Linked DNA regions of Canis lupus familiaris. The protein of the gene in region 2 purifies or fractionates together with the protein of the main gene of each other region. This does not show direct contact. Links are inferred from orthologs where the notes say so. Each region holds a gene or a part of one and is shown on either strand. Other genes may lie near its edges.

What was found.
Region 1: the proteins of DAPK1 (region 2) and IFI30 purify together in Homo sapiens (affinity purification with mass spectrometry; 3 studies listed by BioGRID and IntAct, counting the BioPlex papers as one, with this or other methods). This does not show direct contact. The link is inferred for Canis lupus familiaris from reciprocal best matches to the Homo sapiens genes DAPK1 and IFI30.

Annotation. Positions count from the first base shown.
Region 1 is NC_049241.1:45,228,692-45,233,283, reverse strand, and holds the start of IFI30 (gamma-interferon-inducible lysosomal thiol reductase), read left to right. Parts: upstream 1-1,509; 5' UTR 1,510-1,551; coding exon 1,552-1,683; intron 1,684-2,683; coding exon 2,684-2,866; intron 2,867-2,951; coding exon 2,952-3,026; intron 3,027-3,267; coding exon 3,268-3,360; intron 3,361-4,168; coding exon 4,169-4,321; intron 4,322-4,493; coding exon 4,494-4,547; intron 4,548-4,592. UniProt on the Homo sapiens protein: Lysosomal thiol reductase that can reduce protein disulfide bonds. May facilitate the complete unfolding of proteins destined for lysosomal degradation. Plays an important role in antigen processing.
Region 2 is NC_049222.1:72,870,394-72,874,197, forward strand, and holds part of DAPK1 (death-associated protein kinase 1), read right to left. Parts: intron 3,615-3,804; coding exon 3,494-3,614; intron 457-3,493; coding exon 268-456; intron 1-267. UniProt on the Homo sapiens protein: Calcium/calmodulin-dependent serine/threonine kinase involved in multiple cellular signaling pathways that trigger cell survival, apoptosis, and autophagy.

The DNA.
Region 1 (4,592 bases), on a different chromosome or scaffold from region 2:
GCAGGATCATCCAGCCGTGGGCACTTCAGGGAAACCCCGGCCTCGGAGCCTGCTGCTGTGGACACCAGGCCGGGACTTCCCCAAACCGGAAGAAGACAAGGGAGCTGGGGAACTGGGGCCTTTGGCTATAATCTGGGCCAGGTGTGGGTGTTTCCTCCCATGGGATCAGGTCCTGTGTCATGCCTGGTATTTGAGGCCCTGCAAAGTCTAAGCATCTCAGTTATCCCCTCATGACCTCAGTCTCCACGAGGTGAGGCGGGCTATGGGCTATTCTCTGTCGGTGCTAATGTCCTGCGTCAACACCTTTCCAGCGGTGCCTCCCCCATCACAGCCTGGGGAACCTCTCCCTCTGCCTCTGAGCCCTCCCTGTGGCTTTATTCTCCAAACTTCACTTTTTTTTTTTCCTAAGATGTTATGTATTTATTTGTGAGAGACACAGAGAGAGAGGCAGAGACATAGGCAGAGGAGAGGTGGGCCCCCTGAGGGAGCCTGATGTGGGACTCCATCTCACGACCCCAGGATCATGACCTGAGCCAAAGGCCGATGCTCAACCACTGAGCCACCCAGGTGCCCTCCAAACTTCACCATTTTACAGAAGGGGAAGCAGAGGGTCCATGACTTGAGGTGCCCGGTAAAGTCCAGCCCCAAACCCTGGTCTAGGTGATTCCAGCAGGTTCGAGTCCCACACTGCCAAGCCCCCAGCCTAACCCGGCGTACACAGGATGGGCCTAAGGTGATTACTGCCCTGCGGGCCCAGAGGCCCCACACCCGCACCTCAAGCTTTGGATGGTGGCAAGAAGGAACGCCAGCTTTCCTTGTACCCCCGACTCTCACCCGAGACAGGGCGGGGAGGACAGAGAGAAGTGAGGGGCCCTCCCCGCCGGCTTCTGCTTTCTGGCCTGGCTGCGGCGGGCGCCGCCCGAGTCAGCTGGCTGGTGGGCGGGAGCCTGAGAGGAGGGGGCACCAGGGGCAGGGCCGAGGCGTGGAGAGTGGGGGGGCGGACCCCGCCCCGGGCTAGCGGGAGGCGGCCCGGCTGCGCAGTTCCGACCCCCCGGGGCAGCGGGGGGGGGGGGGGGAGCGACGTGCCCGGGCTCGGAACCGGGCTTGGGGGAGCTGCATGACCCTTGGCCGCCCCCCAGAGCGGTCCGCGGCCGCGTGGAGACCCTCGCGTCTCTCTGCCTCCCTGCGTCTCTCGGTCTCTGAAGCCGCCACCTAGTCTCGGCTCCCGGTGCTGTGACCCCAGCCTCACATGACCGGGCGGCCCCGGCGGCCCGGAAGGGTCAAGGTCGGCCCCGCGGCCCGGCAGGTGGGGGGAGGGAAGCGCCCCCACGGCCGCGTGACTGCGGGCCCGGCAGCCGGCGCGAGCGGGGATGGGGGTCAGGTGGGCGTGGGCCCTAGGCGGGCCGGGGGACCCCAGAGTCGCCCGCCGCAGCCCCAGGGGCGTGGGCACCGGGAGGCGGGTCCGGCCTGGGGGCTGGGCCACCGCCGGGTTAAAGGCGGCTCCCGCCCGGGCCGCCGCTCCTCCCGCCTCCGCGTCCTCGCCCCGCGGTGATGGCTCTGTGGTCGCTCCTGCCGTGCCCGCCGCCGCCGCTGCTGCTGCTGCTGCTGCTGCTGCTGGGGGTCCCCGCGGCGGCACGGGGGTCCCCGCGGAAAGTCCTCTCCGAGGGGGCGGCCGCCTGCAAGGTAGGGACGGCCTCGCGGCGGGAGGGCCAGCGGGGACCGGCGCGCCCGGGCTGCGGGCTGCGGGCTGCGGGCTGCGGGCTGCGGGCTGCGGGCTGCGGGCGGGACGCTGCTCAGGCTCCCCGGACTCTGCCGGAAAGCCTGGGGTTCGGGGCCCGGGGAGGGGGGCGCTGCCCCGGTCGGTTCCGAGTCCCCCCCGCGCTGCCGGCGCTCGGAGTGCTTTCACTTCCCCATCCCGCGTCTGTCCCCGACCGCGGCCCGGGGGTGCACGGAGCTCCTGCTGTGTACCCCTGGGCGGCGGAGGGAAGCCCAGAGGAGTCGGCGCGTGGCACCCACACTCCAGGTGCTGCTTACGGGGCGCCCTTCGGCGGGGGGAGAGCTCGCGCATTTCTGGTGCGGAGCAAGCGGATGTCTGGGAGCCGAGCGCCTGCTCCCCGCTGCACAGACCCTGGCGGGCCTGCCGCCGGCCGCTGAAACCGGAAGTCAGCACGTATTAGGCGCCGCCTCAGCAGGAGAGCCTGGGAGGGGTTCACCTGCGCCCCCTGAGAGGCAGATTAGTAACGGGTTAGCCCAAGTGTAGGGCCTTGCGCAGCCCGGGGCCAAGGCTCTGGGGGTGAAGTGGCAACAGATGAGCATACATTAGTCTCCTGGGGTATACACCCCTGTCAGAGAAGGCAGGATTGACAGCAGCGACCAGAAGTGTCCATGCATTGAGTCCTTACTGCATACACTTCCCCTGGGCCAAGGGTTTCACCTCAACTGAGGGAAAGCAAGAGCTGTTCATAAATTAAGTGCCTACTGTTTGCAAGTCTTTGTCACATCCGTTTTTGCAGAAAAACTGAGATTTAGGAAGATTTAGGGATGCAGTGAAGCCCTGGAGTCAAGATTCCACCTGACAATGTCTGAAAGGACTGCAATATGGAGCACCTACTGTTTGTAGCTGCAAGAGAACCAAACAGGGCTATCCTCCCTACAAACCCCTCCCTTCCTCCCTCCCGCACAGGTTGGGGACCTATGCCTGCAGGAGCCCCTCAGGAAGTCAGAAGCACCACTTGTCAATGTGAGCGTCTACTACGAGGCACTGTGTCCCGGGTGCCGGGCCTTCCTGGTCCGAGAACTCTTCCCGACCTGGCTGATGGTCCTGGAGATCCTCAATGTCACGCTGGTGCCCTATGGAAATGCCCATGTATGTTGGCACTGGGGAACCAAGGCACTAAGCCAGGGAAGGGGCACCTGGTGGGCCAGCCAGCACTCACCTACCTGCTTTGCAGGAACAAAATGTCAGCGGCAGGTGGGAGTTCACATGTCAGCACGGTGAGCAGGAATGCAAGCTTAACAAGGTGGAGGTGAGCAGACCCCTGAGTATTCGAGTGGTGGGGGCACAGAGGCTGGGGAGATGCCCATTGTAAGGAAGGCAAAAGCAAGGCTCAGAAGGGATTGGAACCAGTTCCATCCTCTGCCTGTCTGCCTCTTTAATCACATCTTCATTCACCGCTTCATTAGTGAACACCTGTGTTACTCCCAGAGTGGTCCAGGGGTGCTCTGGGCCCACTTCAATCCCTCACCTCTCCACCCCCTATCCCACAGGCCTGCCTGTGGGACAAGCTAGATAAAAATTTGGCCATCCTGATCATTGTCTGCATAGAGGAAATGGATGACATGGAGGAAAATCTGAAACCGGTGAGCAACACCCCTCACTTGGCCCCGGGCTGGGAGACCCTGGTCTTCCCTGTCTCCAAACAGACCCAAGTTCAAGTCTTGGCCTGACTACCACTCTCTGTGTAGCCCCAGGAAAACAGCCTTCCCTCTGGAAGCCTCAAATCTCTAAAACAAGGGAACAAATATCTTTTGGGGGCATGGGTAGATCAAGGAGGGCTTCCTGGAGGAGGTGCCTCTGAACTGAGCTTGGATGAACAAAAATGTGCAGAGACACAGATGATGATCCTCATCTCGAGTATGGGGATGACAGGACAGGCCCGCATACTTCTCTGGAGGATTATGAAAAACAACTCCCAATGGAGTGACTCATTGATGCCAATAAGTTTATTCACTCATCAAACATCTGGACCACCCAAAAGGCTCACCCTGGGACACCCCCAGCTCTGCAGAGTCATAGTGGGGCCAGAGGAGTGCAGAGGAGGGAGCACTCAGAAGATTCTGGGGAAGTGGAAGGGTGTTCCTGGTGGGGGGGAACAGCACAAACAGAAGCCCTGAGAAAAATGAGATACTGCAGTGGTCCGGGGCTGCGGGTCTGGTCTTATGAGAGGGAGGAGCAGCCTGAGCCCCTGCCTTGGGGGCCTCCACTCAGGTAAGTGTTAAGTACGTGCTGTTTGTGGACATTGTTGCATTGCTGTGGACCCAAATGTCTCCTGTGGCCAGTGAGGAACAAGCTTGGCTTGGGGGGACTGGAGGAGGGACCGTTGGGGAGATAACTCGGAGGAAGCTGAGGCAATGCTCCTACTCACCAGCAACCCTTGTCCACCCTCAGTGCATGGAGATCTATGCCCCAACAATGTCCCCAGACACCATCATGGAGTGTGCAGTGGGGGACCGTGGCATGCAGCTCTTGCACATTAATGCCCAGCTTACAGATGCTCTGCAGCCGCCCCACGAATATGTGCCCTGGGTCGTCGTCAATGGGGTAAGAGCTCTTGTAGCCTTCAGTGTGCCACCAGGCCGGGACCGGGATGATGGATGTGCCTTCTGGTCTGGGAGGCAGGGGTCAGACTTGCAGCCATTTGCAGCCCTTGATGGGCCGGGCATGGGTTGGTTGGGGCAAGGGACTGTATGACTTCCTGTCTTGCTTTGTGCAGAAACCCCTGAAAGATCTGAGTCAGCTCCTAAGCCTCGTCTGCCAGTTGTACCAGGTAAGCTGCAAGGGGAACAGAGGGATCCGCTGGGTGCAGGGGTGG
Region 2 (3,804 bases):
TAGCAGGATCAGTGCTCCCTAACTCATACAAGATGTAAAACAAACAAATCCAAACAAAACCACAGGACAGCTCTCAGGGTGTGTGTGGGGGGAGCAGAGACTGCAGGTCAGAAGATCACCTGGGCTTCTGTGTGACAGCCACGTGTCTGGATAGATTATGGGTCCTGGGGCTATTTCCACTCTGCCTCTCTAGCCCCAAAGCACCTTCGGATTGGGGACAGAAAAACATCCCCAACGCCACTATCCCAGCCAGGCCCCAGTCCCTACCTCGCCAGCACTGTGAAGCTGCTGGGCTATGCGCCGGAGGTCTCCCTCTCTAGCCAGGGGGTTCAGCTGGTCTTGCACATCGTACACAAACTGCTGCAGAGACATGAGCTGGTTGGGCCCGTTGAGCTTCCTCCAGGAAGGCAGCGTGGAGATGATCTTCTCACACAGGTGGGTCATCGGGGGGCAAACCTAGAACGTGCAGGGCAGGACACATCAACATGCAGCCGACAGGGACTCCCCAGGAAAAGCCCAGGTAGAAAGGACGGCGCTCTTTTCTGCACTGTTGCAAGAAATACTTGGGACGAGTTAGTGAGGTTTTGGGTACCCTGGGCCAGTTCTTTTCTTTATAGTGTTGCCTCTAAGCAAAATCCATTTATAAGCATAAAATGGTATAGATGCTTTCATTGCTGCTGCTAATGGAGAAGAGTGGGGAGGCTTCACAACAATCCTTGTGGACTGTACAGACTCCATTACAGTGCTCCTTAGCCCCTAATGCTCTGCTCTCTCCGTTCCTCCGTCCCTCCCCTGGAGTGACTCCTTTAGCTGGAACATGATCACTTTATGAGCAAAGGGAGAGGAAAAGAGAGTAACTATCATTAGCAATACTGGAGTGGGTTTTTATCAGCAAATTAGGTATCTGTGAGACCATTGTGAAAAGTACAATTTAAATTAGACCAATTCTTGGTAATGGGCTTGAAATATATTTTTTTCTTAAATTATTTAAACAAATTGTTAAAAATTTTTATTTGACTATAGTCCATATGCAATGTTACATGAGTTTCAGGTGCGTGACACAGGGACTGGACAAGTCGTAGGTGGCGCTGGGCTCAGCACACCAGAGTAGTACCTCCCTCACCACACACTATTACAATACGACTGACTCCATGCCCTATGCTGTGTCTTTTATTCCTGTGATTTATTCATTCCGTGACTGGAAGGTTGCATCTCCCAGACTCCCTTCACCCATTTTGCTCATCCCCTCTTTTCCCCTTGAAATAGGTTTTTAATCTTTCAATTTGATTAAATAAATCATGTGTATGACAGACTCCTATAATCCGCACACCATCCTAATTAAAAACACCTGCCATACACTGCCCTGCATCATTTATCAGGCAGTCCCTTCTCGAATTCTACCTTTATGTCAAGCAGCATCCCAGCATCCAGGGGCTGCAGGAATCGCAGTGAAGCACCAGGTGCCCCAGGAGGAGAGAGTCAGCTAAATCCCACTCCCTATTCATAAAATAAAATTCCCAGGGAAACAGGCAGTCTGTGTGATGGGTTCCACCTGCTTGGCCTCAGGAGCTGAGGGTGGGGGTTGTGAAGCAAACAATGTCACCAGGCCCTGGTTCAAAACTCTCCAGGGACTCCCCGGAGCCCAGGGCAGAGGCCCTACTGCCCCCTGGTGGGGAGGTGCTGGGGTCCTTCACAGACCACGTTCCCGATCACCACCCCTGGTTTCTGTGACCGGGTTCCTCTGAGTGCCCCTACACGACTCCCCACTGACTGGGGTGAGGGCCAGGCTTCCGGAGGGCCCTGAGTCTTCCTCAAGATTCCTAAAGCACACGTGGCTGGAGTCTGGTGGTGTGCACGGGAGCACCTCCCAGCATGGAAGCAGTAAGCTTTCCCTGGAGAGAGGCCACCCACCACCAGGGCTGGGACACATGCTCTGCATTCACACCCAGGCCGGGGCAGCAGGAACTTTCCAGGGAGCATTGTGCCCTTGGAATGCTAACCCCTTTCCCATCAGCTTGGGAGAACTTACTGAGTATCATAGATTAGCAACCTTTTACGGGTCAGAGGCACAGAGAATATTTTTTCTAGTCTATTTCACCGTTTAACTTCGTTCATGGAATTCATTTGTCAGAAAAGAAATGCCAGCTTTTATGTTGTCAGATAGGTATGCTATCTTTGAAGACTTCTAGGGTTCTCTATATTGCTTGAAAGATTTTTCCAAGGCAGTACCACATTATTTTAAAAAGACATTCAAGATATTGTGGGCTTTTTTCTTTTTGACATTTAAAAGTTTTTATCAACCTAGAATTTATTTTTGGAATTCACAGTAAGTAGAATTCAATCTCGTTTCATTCTAGACTAACAGCAGTTGTGTCAGATCAATGATGAGATATTTTCCTCAAAATTTCAATCTCTGTTTTCTAGTAAGTTTCTATAGATGTTGGATTATTTCTACACTAATTTATTCCACTTATTCAGTTGCTGATTTTGGATTTATTAATTGCACAGCCTTTATAATAGATTTTATTTATACTTCCACTGAAATTTTAAGGTAAAATACCCAACCCAATTGTCTCACTCTCAGGAGATGCATGCTAGGACTGTACCAAGCTTACACAATATGGGAAAACCAAACATTGAATAAGATCTTGCTGCCCAAGAGCCCAGTGTCATCCATTTGTGCATCTATTATTTTATGTCCTTCAATAAATTTTGCTGGTGATGGTTCTTCTATTTTTCTGCATTTTCTTTTTTTTTTTTTTAAACTTATTATCTGAGAGAAAGAGAGAGTGCAAGTGCATGCACAAAACTGAGGGGCAGGGCAGAAGGAGAGGATCCTCAAGCAGACTCCAGACTGAGTGTGGAGCCTGACTCAGGGCTACATCTCACGACTCATGAGATCAAGATCTGAGCTGAAGCCAAGATAAGGCACTTAACCTGACTGAGCCATGCAGGTGCTCCTCTGCATTGTCTCACTATTTCACAATAAGTCACTTCTGGGTAGGTTCTGCGATTTGTTTTTTTGTTTTGTTTTTTAGATTTTATTTATTTATTCATGAGAGACACAGAGAGAGGCAGAGACATAAGCAGAGGGAGAAGTAGGCTCCCTGTAGGGAGCCTGATGTGGGACTTGACCCCAGGACCCTGGCATCATGACGTGAGCCAAAGGCAGACGCTCAACCACTGAGCCACCCAGGTGTCCCAGGTTCTGTGATTTCTAAAAGGCCGTGCTACTTGCAGACTGGCCACTAAAGCTGTCAGAATCCTACACACTGTAATGTGGCCCCTATGCCCATAACCCCCCTCATCTCCAGGCCACCTCCGTATTCTCATCCTTCTTTCCTCCTCCCACAGCAAACATGGCCGTGCAGCTGCCTCCTACCACGACCCCTGGGAACCAAACCTAACCTAAGAGGACAGCACAAAGAGGCCAGCTCCAGGGTGACCAGATGGTCTAAGCAAAGGTGGGCCTGCAGCCTCCCAGCACACTCACCGAGACAATCTGGCTCCGAATGTCTTGCAGGTGACTTCGAAGTACTTTCATGTCCTTAGAGCCCGAAGCGCCAGCATCCAGAACAAAGAGCTTGTTTGAAATATGGAGATCGTTCCCAAACCTAAGGGAAGAGCAGTGGCCTCAAGGTGATGCAGTCCCACCAGTTGTCCCCACAGACGGCAGGCTCCTGCTGGCCTGAAAAGCTGGTCTGAAGCCATAAAGTTCTTATGACCTTGCAAAGGGCACCCCCTCCCTGCTGGCTTCTGTCACCTTACACTGGGTGGTGACCCCCACGCTCCGAGTCCTTAGGA